2 linked regions of the Stegostoma tigrinum genome follow. The protein of the gene in region 1 purifies or fractionates together with the protein of each later gene. This does not show direct contact. Links are inferred from orthologs where the notes say so. Each region holds a gene or a part of one and is shown on either strand. Other genes may lie near its edges.

Region 1 (7,140 bases):
CAAGAAGCTTGACACCATCCGTGACAAAGCAGACCGCTTGATAGGCACTACACCTACTAGCATCCACTTCCTCCACCGCCGAAGCTCAGCAGCAGCAGATGAGTACAAGATACACTGCAGAAAAGATTCACCAAAGAACCTCAGACAGCATCTTCCAAACCCATGGCCACTTCCATCTGGAAGGACAAGGGCAGTAGATACATAGAAACACTACCAACTTGCAAGCTCCCTTCCTAACCTCTCACCATCCTGACTTGGAAATGAATTGCTGTTCCTTGACTTTTGCTGGGTGAAACTCCTGGAATTCCCTCCCTTAAGGCATTACCAGTTAATGCACAGCACATGGACTGCAGAGGTTCAAGGAGGGAGCTCACCACCAACCTCACAAGGGCAACTAGGAATGGGCAGTAAATTCTGGCCAGCCAGTAAAAACCCACATCTCACCAGTGATTAAAACAAAACAATAGAATGCCTAGGTGTGAAGTCCCACTCATAAATTTCTACCAGAAGAGTGGCTCCCATCGGGCTCTAAATTCTGGTTCTGTGCTTCATTCCTATAGATCAGGAATTATGCATTCCCAGTGCATTCTGCCCGCCTGAATTTAATCTGAGCAGCGAGTCTTTGGGAGGAACACAGCATGTCAGGCAGCATCAGAGGAACTGGAGAGTCAACGTTTAGGGCCTAAACCCTCCATCACCCCACCACATCCAGCTCCACACTGCATTGACTCAGACTCCAGCATCTGCAGTTCGTGCTATTCCCGGGATTTTGGCGGGAACGTCAGTTTCTGATTTAAAAAAAAAGACAGTGGAGCATTTTAGTTCTGAGCTGCCCGCAAATGAAACTTGTACCGTGCCACCTTCGAGAGGCGATCACCAGTTAGAATCCAACAGGTCATGAATAAAACTTCGCCCCCACCTCCCCCCATCCCACCTATGGGAAAGTAAAACTCAAAGGATTGATTGGACTGACTGAGCCGTGACCCACCCCGACACTCTTCGATGAAAAGATGGCGAGGCGCCTGAAGCGCTGACTAACCTGCCAGGACGTGATGGGAAATTAGGATGCCTTCCAAATGAAGTCTGTGCCACCGACAGGAGGGTTGGAAGTTTGAAAAGTCGGCATGCGTCATCTGGGTATGAGTGATCTGGATCTCAAAATCAAAACCCGAACACCGTCTCCCTCAGAGTTAGCCGATTTACAGTGAGGTGGGACAAGGAGTGATATGTAATAGTACTGTATTCCTTCGGTTTGCGATGGCACAGCGGCAGTAAACCCAGGTTCGAGTCCCATGTGGTACACAGTGAATCTCTGAACTGCCTAATAGTGGGATAGAGTCAATAGAGGTGAGAACTCACAAGGTTTCAGAATCAGAGAGAGTTGCAACACAGAACCAATGACATTGAGCTACTGAGACCCATGACATGTGATAATATCTGGACTTTGCTGATAATTCTGAAGCGGAGATGGACACACACACACACAAACACAGAGACACATTTACAAGGTTTGTCGACCCTTAACTCTTTAACTCTGATTTCTCTCCGCGGATGCTGCCTGAGCTTTATCCAGCAACATTCTGGTTTATTTTTAGTTGGTTTACACGCAGCTTGACCCTGTTAGAAAGTTCCCCACCCCGTTTTGATCCCGCGCTCTCCCTCACGCTCTACCTACCGAGCGGTAAGATGGTGAAGAAGGGAAGCCAGCAGAGGACGAAGACACCGACCACGATGCCGACGGTCTTGGCCGCTTTCTTCTCGCGGGAGAACTTGAGGAGGCGCATGGACAGTGAACTGCGGAGGGGCGGCGGCGCCTGGCCCCTGGCCCTGAGGGTGGAAGCCGGCTCGTCCCCCGGCCCGGCCGCACTCCGGCAGTGGATCCTCAGCACCAGCTCGGTGCTGTTGCCCCCTCGCTCCCTCTTGACCCCGGCCTCCAGGCTGCGGGTGGTCCTCCGGGCCACCACGTAGATGCGGCAGTACATGGCCAGGATGACGGTGAGGGGCAGGTAGAAAGAGAACAGCGACGAGAAGAGGGCGTAGCCCGGTTCCTCGGTGATGCTGCACAGGGTGTCGTCGGCGGGAGCGGGCTCCTTCCAGCCCAGGAGGGGTCCCACCGAGATGACCAGGGAGGAGAGCCAGAGGAGCAGGAGGATCCAGACCGCTTTCCGCTCGGTCATGATGGCAGGGTAGCGCAGGGAGTAGCGTACGCCGATGTAGCGGTCGATGGAGATGGTGCACAGGCTCATGATGGACGCGGTGCAGCAGAGCACGTCCACGGCCGCCCACACATCGCAGAAGGGCCTCCCGAAAGCCCAGTAGCCGAACACCTCGAGGCTGGCCGAGAACGGCAGGATGGTGGCGCTCAGCAGCAGGTCCGCCACCGCCAGGTTAACGATGAAGTAGTTGGTGACCGTCTGCAGGTGCCGGTTGCACGCCACCGAGAGGATCACCAGAATGTTACCGGCGATGGCGAAGGCGATCAGGGCGCCCAGCACCACCCCCACGGCCACGCCGTCCAGTCCCGCCGCCCCTTCCTCACTCGACCTGTTGCCGGCTCCCCCCGAGCCGTTACCGTCCACACTCCGGTTCGTCCACTCCTCCCAAGTCATCTTAGAGCAGCCAGGCTCTCCATTGGAATGGGATTGTGTGTGTGTGTGTGTGTGTGTGTCGGGGAAGGGGGGGTGGGGGGAAGATTTGGGCAACTTCTTCCCCTGCCCCGCACACCCAAGCTTTGCTCAGGGGATGGGCTCACTCATTCCTCACTGGACTTTAACCCCCTCAAGCCCTCCTGCATCTTCTTCCTTCTCCCATTTACTTCGCGCTGTAACTTTTACTTTCCCCTCTCCCTTTCTGTCTCTCAGCGGCTCACTTTATCCACACAAGCCCAGGTTAAGAAATGTTGCTCCGTCTTTCCACACCCCTTCGGACAGACAGAGAGAGAGAGAAACAAACCGAGAGAGCGGTCAGAAATATCGCCCACGCTGACCACTAACGAAAATCTCTTCAAAGCAGTTGGATGCTGAAGCTTGAAGATCACTTTTCAATCACATTAAACCTCGCCTCCTCGGGATGGTCCCAACGTCACGGGCTCTCTCTCTCTCTCTCTGTGTGTGTATGTGTGTGTGTAGGGGACACTGACAGAGGGCGGCAAAGAGTCGGCTGCTCTACCCCCCCACCCCCCGACCCCTCCAGAGCCAGCCAGCATCCCCAGTTTACTGAAGGAACATTAAAAACTTTTTGATTTCTCCCCATGGATGCTGCCATACCTGTAGTTTTCGCTTTTTAGGCTGAAAACTCCTCTTCTGCACTGATGAAAACTCACGAAAGTCTTGCCCTGTGTAAAAGTAAGGAACCGAAATCTCCATAAATTTTCATATGAGCGCTGTGTCGAATCTCCACGTGAGGATTGGTGCCGGGGCTCGATTGCTGTCTTTTTGTTGAGTTAATTTTTCTAGCGCTTTTTAAAAATTACATTAAAAAATCATTTCTGTTTTTCAATAACAAGCCAGTTTCTCTTCTCTTTTGCCGCTGAACGAATAAAAATTGAAATTGGTATTCCAGATGTCAAGTTGAATCCCTGGAAGGTAAATATTACTGGGCGGAATTACCAGTTCTGTTGTAATAATCCTTTAATATTAACTTTAATTATACGATTACTTTCTGCCAATTTGATTCCATTAAACGCATTGCTTAAACCGGGCTATACGCTTGTGACACGCAGCGACAAAATTTGTTTTGTTTTTAATTCAGTTCAAAAGTGAATGATTCAGTGTCGGAACTCGTTGCTTTCATTAGTCTCGATATAACTAAGACGGCGATTTGCTTAGGAGAGGTGAGGCGGAACTCATCGAAATGTCTCAACTGTTAGCGCACGTTTTGGGGTTTCTGTAGCAACATACATTAATGTAAAATAAATATTCCGACCAAGACATGGTCGAGTAAAACATGGCATTGAACAGACTTGTTTATTTATGTTTTACGCAGGAAGGTTGAAAACAGTCGCCTGACCAGTGTAGAAAATTATCAGAATGGAAAATGTCTGATAATGTTCTGCCCTCTCCTCTAGCTGAGGACCTCTGGCTCTCCTTGCTTCATTCGTTTCTTTAGCTTCTGTGTCGCGCTCTTCTCTCGAGCCCACATCTCTTTCAACCCTTTCTCCATCAATGTCCCCGTCTGTTTTTTTCGTCTTGTTTCTGTACCTCACTCCACTTCACCCCACCACCCCACCTCCTGGTGTCCCCGGCTCCTCTCACGGACTTTTCTCTGATCTTTCCATCCCCAGTTCCCGACTCCTGTTCTATCTTGCCCCCGCCTTGCTGTCGCCTTCCAATCGTCTCTAACTTTGTTCTCTCGGCTGCTTTGCCTGTTATTGTCCTCTTCAACAGCTAACTCTAACTTTCTGACTGAGCGAGCGGACTCGATTTCTTTCATCTCCCCTCCTCCTGCCTCCCGCTCCCTCCTGCCTCCCCCATCCCTCCCTCCTTTCTGCCATCCCTTCCTCCTCTCCTGCTGGATCTATGCCTCCCACCGGAAAGGTCCGGGGAGACTCGAGCCCAGTCATTCCAATTTACAGGGGACCATTATAAGTGTAGTGGGATTTCTGTTCGATAAATAAAGGAGTGGGGGAATTAAAACACACTGTATTGGTAGCTCAAGGTTGCATTATGAATGATTAGCATCGAAGATATCGGTGGTCGCCCAGCGTGACACGGAATTTTATTCTGTCCCGCGTTTGTCTATGAAGCGAATACAAGCGCAGATTCAGATTAGTACACAATTATTGTTCTGAACAAATCGGGGAATTAATCGTTGACTCATAATTCAGGTCAATCTCCTTAGATTCCCAGCATTTGCTGAAGACTGGAATCCATGTTTCCCTGCTCCTTTTATATCTAAGGAGTCCCGTGGCTGAGATTTTACCGAGAACCATTTGAAGGAACAGAAAATCTAAAGCTATTTGCACAGAAGGAGCCAGATTTGTCTCAAAATCTCGCCCCATTCGGTCTGGGAGACCCTGGGGAGACAGTCCCGAAATCAGCCCGATATTAGTGCACCCACACTCAGTGAAGAAGTCACTGATCGACCCGAAAGGTCATCAATGCTGGCCGCTGCTCAGCTCGTCAGTCCGAAAACAAAATCCTCTGCTTGGTCTCCTTAATAATAAAAAAAACCACTCTTTCCCTTGACCCTCGCAGTGTTGTAAATCTCCTCAATATCACAACCCGCGAATCGACCCTTAAAATGTGCGCTGGGAGGACATTAATTCGCGAACACAGTAACATTTCTGAAATCTCATTCCCCCGCCCGGTCTGGATCACAGAAATACCAGAAGTCGCTGATCTGTCCCCGCCTGGAGTGTAAATCCAACAGAAACCAGAAGCGGGCTGTGCCACTCAACTATACACCGCCCCACAGCTAACAGTCTACTGAGCAGAACCGATACAAACAGAATAGATTAGAAAAGAATAGCCTTTATTGTTACTTAGTAGTAAGGGAATGGAACGCTTTGCCTGCAACGGTAGTAGATTCGCCAACTTTAGGTACATTTAAGTCGTCATTGGACAAGCATATGGACGTACATGGAATAGTGTAGGTTAGATGGGCTTGAGATTGGTATGACAGGTCGGCACAACATCGAGGGCCGAAGGGCCTGTACTGTGCTGTAATGTTCTATGTTCTATACAGGAGTACAGTGAAAAGTAAAGTCTCTGCTAAAAGCAGTAACTGTGGACGGAGACAGGCAGCGAGTCATTACAGGAGCTGCAACAGTGCCCGAGGGTGCGGCGGACGTCAGATTTAATCTAGAAGCGAGTGAAGTTGTTATCACCGGAAACCCCAATTGGCAGGTTACACGTGGTGAGATGCCATTTGACAGTTGAAGGCGCGATGGGCCGACTGGGCTCACTCTGGATTCCGACTGTAAAGCGCAAGTTGGGCCGAGACAGAAATGTTAATTCCCTCTGAAGTGGGTGTGTGTTGTAACGATAATAGAGCAATTTCTGGGACAACAGGGAGGGGGATCTGCATCCCTTGGGAATTTTGTTTTACCCTTTCAGTGGCTTTATTCAGTTAAAGGATCGCAAGTCCACCGCAGAATGAATTCAGAGAGCGTGGACCATTCAGCCCAACTCGCCTGTGCTAGGGCTGCTACTCCACAGGTGCCAACTTTAATTTCCTCTGCTTCATCAACCTTTCTCTATATCTAGCTATTCCGTCTTATTCCATCTTCTTGTTTAGTTTACCTCTTAAAGTTTCTAAACAATGTCCCTCAACCACTGATGAGGTCGACATGCCAATCATTCTCTGAGAAAGAGATGCCGTTTTCACCTCCCATTCTTTTGCTAATAGTCCGACATATTTGCATAAAATGGAAACCAGAATCCTGAGTTTGGACTCTGCACAAATTTAACATTGCATCACCAATTTTGAATTGAACACCAGAAGTAACCTCAGTTTTTTTTAGCATTTTTAAACATTGTTTTTCATTTGTAACATTGCTTTCAATTAATCCAGCCCATGGGGACTCTTATTTTCTCATACTGAAGAGATGTTTCTCTTTTGCTTACCCAAATTGCATCACTTCAAAATCATCTATACTAAAGTTCATTCACCATGTAACTTCTTGGTCTGGGAATCGTCTAATACCCTCTTGCATTCTTTTGCTTTCCTGCTCATTGTTCTCACGGTCTGGCATCGTCTGCAATTATTGATCTTGAGGAAGTTGCCCCGAAGTCCAAAGTGTGAAAGTATTTTTTTTAAAAAGTTAATGGGTTGGTCTCAAAGGCAAGGCCAGCATTTGTTGCCCATCTCTAATTGCACTGAACAAGATGGTGATGTCCCCCGCCTTGTGCTGCTGCAGCCGTTGGGGTATAGGGAGCCTGCTGTGGTGTTAGGAAGGGAGTTCCAGGATTTTGATGCAGCACCAGTGAAGGAACAGCAATGTGGTTCCAGAGATAATGGATGCTGGAGAATCCAAGATAACAAAGTGTGGAGCTGGATGAACACAGCAGGCCAAGCAGCATCTCAGGAGCACAAAAGCTGACGTTTTGGGCCTAGACCCTTCATCTGATGAATGGTCTCGGCCCAAAATGTCAGCTTTTGTGCTCCTGAGATGCTGCTTGGCTGCTGTGTTCATCCAGC
Region 2 (7,007 bases), on another chromosome or scaffold:
TTTCTGTACTCCCAGGAAATGCTGGACAATGAAGGGTACCCTATCAGATGTATCTGTGTCTGTCTTCGAAGGAGGCCATTACGGTTTTTCGCTGTGGCACTGGCGTTCAATGAGTTGAACAATGTTAGTGTCTGTGTGTGGGGAACATGAGAGAGAGAGAGAGAGAGTGAAAGCAAGAGAGAATCTGTTTGTTGGGGGGGGCATTAAACAAAGATTGCAAGCAAGAGAGTATCTGTGTGTGTGTGTGTTGGGGGGGCGGGGTGTTAGAGAGAGATCGAGCATGTGTCTGTGTGTTTGAGGGGGAGTGAGAGTGTATAGTGTGTTACGGTCACCTGTAGTGCAACATGAACCCAAGATCCCAGTTGAGGCTGTCCGCATGGGTACCAATCTTGGGTTGATGAGTTGAGCATTGTATCCTGTTCCAATGGGGGCATTTGGATGGGTACATTATCAGAATGTGTTTGAAGGGATATGGGCCAAATACTCCCAAATGGGATTAGATGAATTTTGGATCTCTGGTCTGCGCGGACGAGTTGTGTCGGTTTCTGGGCTGTGTAGTTCTATGACTCTTGTGTCAGACCCAAAGATAGTAGGAACTGCTGCTGCTAGACTCTGAGATAAAACACCACAACGCAGTCCCCAAGCCTCTGCTTGGTTTCCCCGATTGTAGAGGAGGCCACAATCGGAAAAGTGGATACAGTATATCACATTAGCAGATGTGCAGGTGAACATGTTTGATGTGGAACGTATTCTTGGGACCTGGGATAGGGGTGTAGGGGCAGGTGTAGTACATCCTGTAGAAAACGACAATGTTGTCGAGAATACTGAGATACAGGCTACTAGACTAGGTGGGATTGAGGCTCACAAGGAAGAGGTATTAGAAATCCTACAGAGGGTGAAGACAGATAAGTCCCCTGGGCCGGATGGGATATATCCTAGGATCCTCTGGGAAGCCAGGCAGGAGACTGCCAAGCCTTTGGCATTGATCTTTAACTCGTCATTGTCTACAGGAATAGTCCCAGGCGACTGGAGGATAGCAAATGTGGTTCCCCTGTTCGGGAAGGGGAGTAGAGACAACCCTGGTAATTATAGACCAGTGAGCCTTACTTCAGTTGTTGGTAAAGTGTTGGAAAAGGTTATAAGGGATAGGATTTATAATCATCTAGAATAGAATAATTTGATTAGGGATAGTCAGCATGGTTTTGTGAAGGGAAGGTCATGCCTCACAAACCTTATTGCGTTCTTTGAGAAGGTGACCAAACAGGTAGATGAGAGTAAACTGGTTGATGTGGTGCATATGGATTTCAGCAAAGCATTCAATAACGTTCCCCGCAATAGGCTTTTGTACAAAATACGGAGGAATGGAATTATGGGAGATATAGCAGTTTGGATCAGAAATTGGCTTGCTGAAAGAAGACAGAGGATGGTGGTTGATGGGAAATGTTCACCCTGGAGACCAGTTACTAATGGTGTACCGCAAGGGTTGGTGTTGGGTCCACTGCTTCTCGTCATTTTTATAAATGACCTGGATGAGGGCGTAGAAGGATGGGTTAGTAAATTTGCAGACGACACCAAGGTCAGTGGAGTTGTGGATAGTGAAGAAGAATGTTGTAGGTTACAGAGAGACATAGATAAGCTGCAGAGCTGGGCTGAGAGGTGGCAAATGGAGTTTAATGCAGACAAGTGTGAGGTGATACACTTTGGTAGGAGTAACCGGAATGCAAAGTACTGGGCTAATGGTAAGATTCTTAGTAGTGTAGATGAGCAGAGAGATCTCTGTGTCCATGTACACAGATCCTTGAAAGTCGCCACCCAGGCATACAGTGTTTTAGCGTTTATTAATAGAGGATTGAGTTCCGGAAACAAGAGGTTCAGCTGTACAAAACTCTGGTGCGGCCGCACTTGGAGTATTGCGTACAGTTCTGGTCACTGCATTATAAGAAGGATGTGGAAGCTTTGAAAGGGTGCAAAGGAGATTTACTAGGATGTTGCCTGGTATGGAGGGAAGGTCTTATGAGGAAAGGCTGAGGGTCTTGAGGTTGTTTTTGTTAGAAGAAGGTTGAGAGGTGACTTAATTGTAGACATATAAAATAATCAGAGGGGTGGATAGGGAGAGCCTTTTTCCTAGGATGGTGATGGTGAGCATGAGGGGGCATAGCTTTAAATTGAGGGGTGAAAGGTATAGGACAGATGTCAGAGGTAGTTTCTTTACTCAGAGAGTAGTAAGGGAATGGAATGCTTTGCCTGCAACGGTAGTAGATTCGCCAACTTTAAGTACATTTAAGTCGTCATTGGACAAGGATATGGATGTACATGGAATAGTGTAGGTTAGATGGGCTTCAGATTGGTATGACAGGTCAGTACAACATCAGGACCGAAGGGCCTGTACTGTGCTGTAATGTTCTATGTTCTATTTCCTGGGGTTGCAGGGAAAATTGCCAGGGGTGGTGGGGCTTGGAGACAACTTTATGGAGCACCTGCAGTCCCATTCACATACCATTTCCAGTCCCCCTCCCATTCCTTAGATGACATGTCCATCATGGGCCTCCTGCAGTGCCACAACGATGCCACCCAAAGGTTGCAGCAACAGCAACTCATATTCCGCTTGGGAACCTTGCAGCCCAATGGTATCAATGTGGACTTCACCAGTTTCAAAATCTCCCCTTCCCCAACCATATGCCAAAACCAGTCCAGCTAGTCCAAAAGATTGGAGCGACTGGGCTTGTATACACTTGAGTTTAGAAGGATGAGAGGGGATCTGATTGAGACGTATAAGATTATTAAGGGATTGGACACTCTCTGGGGGCAGGAAGCATGTTTCTGCTGATGGGTGAGTCCAGAACCAGAGGACACAGTTTAAAAATAAGAGGTAGGCCATTTAAAACAGAGTTGAGGAAAAACTTCTTCACCCAGAGAGTGGTGGGTATATGGAATGCTCTGCCCCAGAAGGCTGTGGAGGCCAACTCTCTGGATACTTTCAAGAAAGAGATGGATAGAACTCTTAAAGATCGTGGAATCAAGGGTTATGGGGATAAGGCAGGAACAGGATACTGATTGTGGATGATCAGCCATGATTACAATGAATGGTGGTGCTGGCTCAAAGGGCCGAATGGCCTACGCCTGCACCTATTGTCTATAGTCTCTGCCTTTCCAACCATTCCTCTCACCTCAAGCCCCACCTCCATCCCACTAACCTTAGCCTCACCCCCGCCCCCCTGATCTGTCCGTCCTCCCTGCACAGACCTATCGCCCCGCCAGCGACACACCTTTACTGGCTTCATCCCCGCTTCTTTAACTTGTCTGTCTCCTCTCACCCAATCTTCTCCTTTATCCATCTTCTATCCGCCTCCCCCGTCTCCCTATTTATTTCAGATTCTCCTCCCCCCTCCCCCGAAGAAGGGTCCCGACTTGATACGTCAAGCTTTCCTGCTCCTCTGATGCTGCTTGGCCTGCTGTGTCCATCCACTTTCACACCGTGTTATCTCAGGAACTCCAGCATCGTCAGGCCCTACTATCTCTGTAACAACTTTCTCCCCCTCTCTCCCTATTCATTTCAGAACCCCCTCCCCCTTTTCTGATGAAGGGTCTAGACCCGAAACGTCAGCCTTCCTGCTCCTGAGATGCTGCCTGACCCGCTGTGTCCGTCCAGCGCCACATTGTGTTATCTGCAGTTCTTTAGTTTGTTTCCCGTTCGCTGGCCATTGCATTATTCCCATTGGCCTCCACGGAGGACCTTGCTCCCATTGGCTGGCCGTTGCGCGATTTCTATTGGTAGCCTCCAGGATCTCGAGCCCATTGGCTGGCTATTGCACTATTCCCATTGGCCGGCCGTTGCCAATTTCCCGACGGTCGCCCCCTGAAGATGTGCTATTATTGGCTGGCCATTGCACTAGTCCCATTGGTTGTCCAGTGCCGTGTTCCCATAGGCTGTTGGGTTGGCGGGCGATGGCGGCCGGGCTCTCGGTTCGGGCCGGGCCGCTCGAGCTTTTTCTCCGGGACCGCGGGTGGCTTCGGGTCGGGGCTGAGCTGCGAGCAGATAGCCTGAAGCTGACCAGCGAGGACTTGGAGCCTGGGGTCTGGGATGGTCTCTCCAACGGATCCCCGCGGCCGCGGAGCTCCAGCCCGACTCCAGTACATATGAGCCCGGCGGGGCCTGGATCTGGGAGTCCGGGTCGAGGTGCCGCGGTTGTGCTGCCCCGGGAGGCCAGCAGCCCGAAACCGGGTCCAGGGCTGGCCGATCGGGTCCGTACCGTGAGGGTTGTGAAACAGGAAGCCGGTGGCCTCGGCATCAGCATCAAGGGCGGCCGCGAGAACCGAATGCCCATCCTCATCTCCAAGATTTTCCGGGGCTTAGCGGCCGAACGTACCGGCGCCCTTTACGTGGGAGATGCCATCCTTGCGGTGAACGGAGCTGACCTCCGGGAGGCGACACATGACCAGGCCGTACAGGCCCTGAAGAAGGCTGGAAGGGAGGTGACCCTGGAGGGTGAGCGGGGGCTAAGGGGAGAGCGACCCGATCTTCGAGGTTCGGGTGAGGAGGGAGCGTACCCCCCCTCCCCCGGGGAGAGAATGGTCCGGGGATTCCTCTTCCACAAATTGTAAACGGATAATTTCGATGTTGAAATCTTCATTGAAAGAGATGTATAGAGAGAGATGTGCGTCTAATGAATACTTGCCATGTTGTTTCTCTGCTGGTTTCTGGACTGGTTCACATTGTACAGATTCCGATGGGAGCCGAGTTCTCCTCGAGTTTAACTTCATCAGTGTAGGCCTAGTACACGTAGAGTTTGTGAACATTGTGTATCCACCTGAAGGGCAAGTGGTTAACAGTAAGTGATTAGAATATCCTAAGGATCCAACAGGTAGAAATGTATTACATAAAACACAAATACAACCAACCAGGAGGTGCTAAAGATACTCCATTTGAGCTGCTTCTGTCTTTTTAAAATCTAAATCTACCATCCTAATCCTTTACATACAAACTAGGAGCAGGATTAGGCTATTCAACTCCTTGACTCTGCTCTTCCATTCATAAGATCATAGCTGATCTGACGGTAACCTTAAATCGATATTCTCCCCAGGCCTGTTAACCTATCATCCCCTGGCTGAAAAGAATCTATCTGTTACCAGTTTTAATTGTGTTCAACGACTTGACTTTCTTCACTTTTTCAATATGGGAGTTCCAAAGACTTGAGATGTTCCACCAGCAAAAAAATTCACTGCATCTGTTTTAAATGTGTGACAGTTTTAAACAGTAACCTTTAGTTTTAGATTCATTGTTAGATTCTTAATTCTAGATTTCTGTTGTTTTCGAAAGTCACAATTTGGCAGGCAGCATTCAAACATAAATGTTCCCTAGGCCATTACCTCTGTTTCTGCATTAATAGTTTGGAGATAATGCAGTGACAAGAATGCTAATGCAGTTATCAGGGAGGTGATGATCTGGTGGTATTATCACTGGACTGTTTGTTCAGAGACCTAATAGCATTTAGGGTGGCACGGTGGCTCAGTGGTTAGCACTGCAGCCTCCCAGCACCAGGGACCCGGGTTCGATTCCAGCCTCGGGCGACTGTCTGTGTGGAGTTTGCATATTCTCCCTGTGTCTGCGTGGGTTTCGTCTGGGTGCTCCGATTTCCACAGTCCAAAGACGTGCAGGCTAGTTCGATTGGCCATGAGAAATTACCAGTAGTGTTCAGGGGCGTGTGGGTTATACGGGGATGGGTCTGGGTGGGATGCTTCAAGGGGCAATGTGGACCTGTTGCGCCAAAGGGCCTGTTTCCACACTGTAGGTAATCTAATCTAATCATTCTGAGGACCTTGGTTTGATTCATGCCAAGGCAGACGGTGGAATTTGAATTCAGTAAAATATCTGGAATTAAGAATCTAATGATTACTATGAATCCATTGTTGATTGTTTGAAAAACCCAAATGGTTCACTGACCTTTTAGGGAAGGAAACTGCAATCTTTACCATATTTATTCCTATTCATCTGTTGGATGTGAGCATCGCTGGCTGGCCAGCATTTCTTGTCCATCCCTAGTTGCCCTTAAGAAGATGGGGGTGAGCTGTCTTCTTGAGCTGTTGCAGTCCTCCTGCTGTGGGTTGACCCACAATCCGACTAGGGAGGGAATTCCAGGATTTTGACCCAGCAACAGTGAAGGAACAGCAATATATTTCCAAGTCAGGATGGTGGGTAACTTGGAGGTGGTGATGTTCCCATATGTGTGCTGCCCTTGTCCTTCAAAATGGAAGTGGTTGTAGGTTTGGAAGGTGCTGTCTGAGAATCTTTGGTGAATTTCTGCAGTGCATTTTGTAGATACTATACGCTGCTGCTACTGAGTGATGGTGGTGGAGGGAGTGAATGCTTTTGGATGTAGTGCCAGTCAAGTGGGCTGCTTTGTTCTGGGTGGTGTCAAGCTTCTTGAGTGTTGTTGGGACTGCATTCATCCAGGCAAGTGGGGAGTAGTCCATCACACTCCTGACTTGTGCCTTGTAGATGGTGGACAGGCTTTGAGGAGTCAGGAGGTGAGTTGCTTGTCACAATGTTCCTAGATTCTGACCTGCTCTTGTAGCCACCGTTATTGTGGTGAGTCTAGTTGAGTTTCTGATCAATGATAATCCCCAGGATGTTGATAGTGGGGGATTCAGTGATGGTACCACCAATGAATATTAAAGGATGGTGGTTAGATTGTCTTATTGGTGATGGACATAGCCTGGCATTTGGGTGGCACGAATGTCACTTGCCCCTTGATAGCCCAAACCTGTATATTGCCGGGGTCTTGTTGCATATGAACATGGACTGCTTCGGTATCTAAGAAGTCACGAATGGTGCTGCACATATCCCCACTTTTGACCTTATGATGGAGGGAAGGTCATTGAAGCCGCTGGTCTGACCTGTATGTGACTCCAGAACTACAGCAATGTGGTTGACTCTGAACTGCCCTCCGGGCAATTAGGGATGAGCACTAAATGCTGCCCAGCCAGTGTCACCCTTGTCCTGTGAATGA

What was found. The genes of interacting proteins can lie anywhere in the genome.
Region 2: the proteins of adra1d (region 1) and sntb2 purify together in Homo sapiens (tandem affinity purification; 4 studies listed by BioGRID and IntAct, with this or other methods). This does not show direct contact. The link is inferred for Stegostoma tigrinum from reciprocal best matches to the Homo sapiens genes ADRA1D and SNTB2.

What each region holds. Positions count from the first base shown.
Region 1 is NC_081354.1:171,210,433-171,217,572, forward strand, and holds the start of adra1d (alpha-1D adrenergic receptor), read right to left. Parts: upstream 3,044-7,140; 5' UTR 2,610-3,043; coding exon 1,676-2,609; intron 1-1,675. UniProt on the Homo sapiens protein: This alpha-adrenergic receptor mediates its effect through the influx of extracellular calcium.
Region 2 is NC_081369.1:67,641,095-67,648,101, forward strand, and holds the start of sntb2 (beta-2-syntrophin), read left to right. Parts: upstream 1-3,922; 5' UTR 3,923-3,945; coding exon 3,946-4,486; intron 4,487-7,007. UniProt on the Homo sapiens protein: Adapter protein that binds to and probably organizes the subcellular localization of a variety of membrane proteins. May link various receptors to the actin cytoskeleton and the dystrophin glycoprotein complex.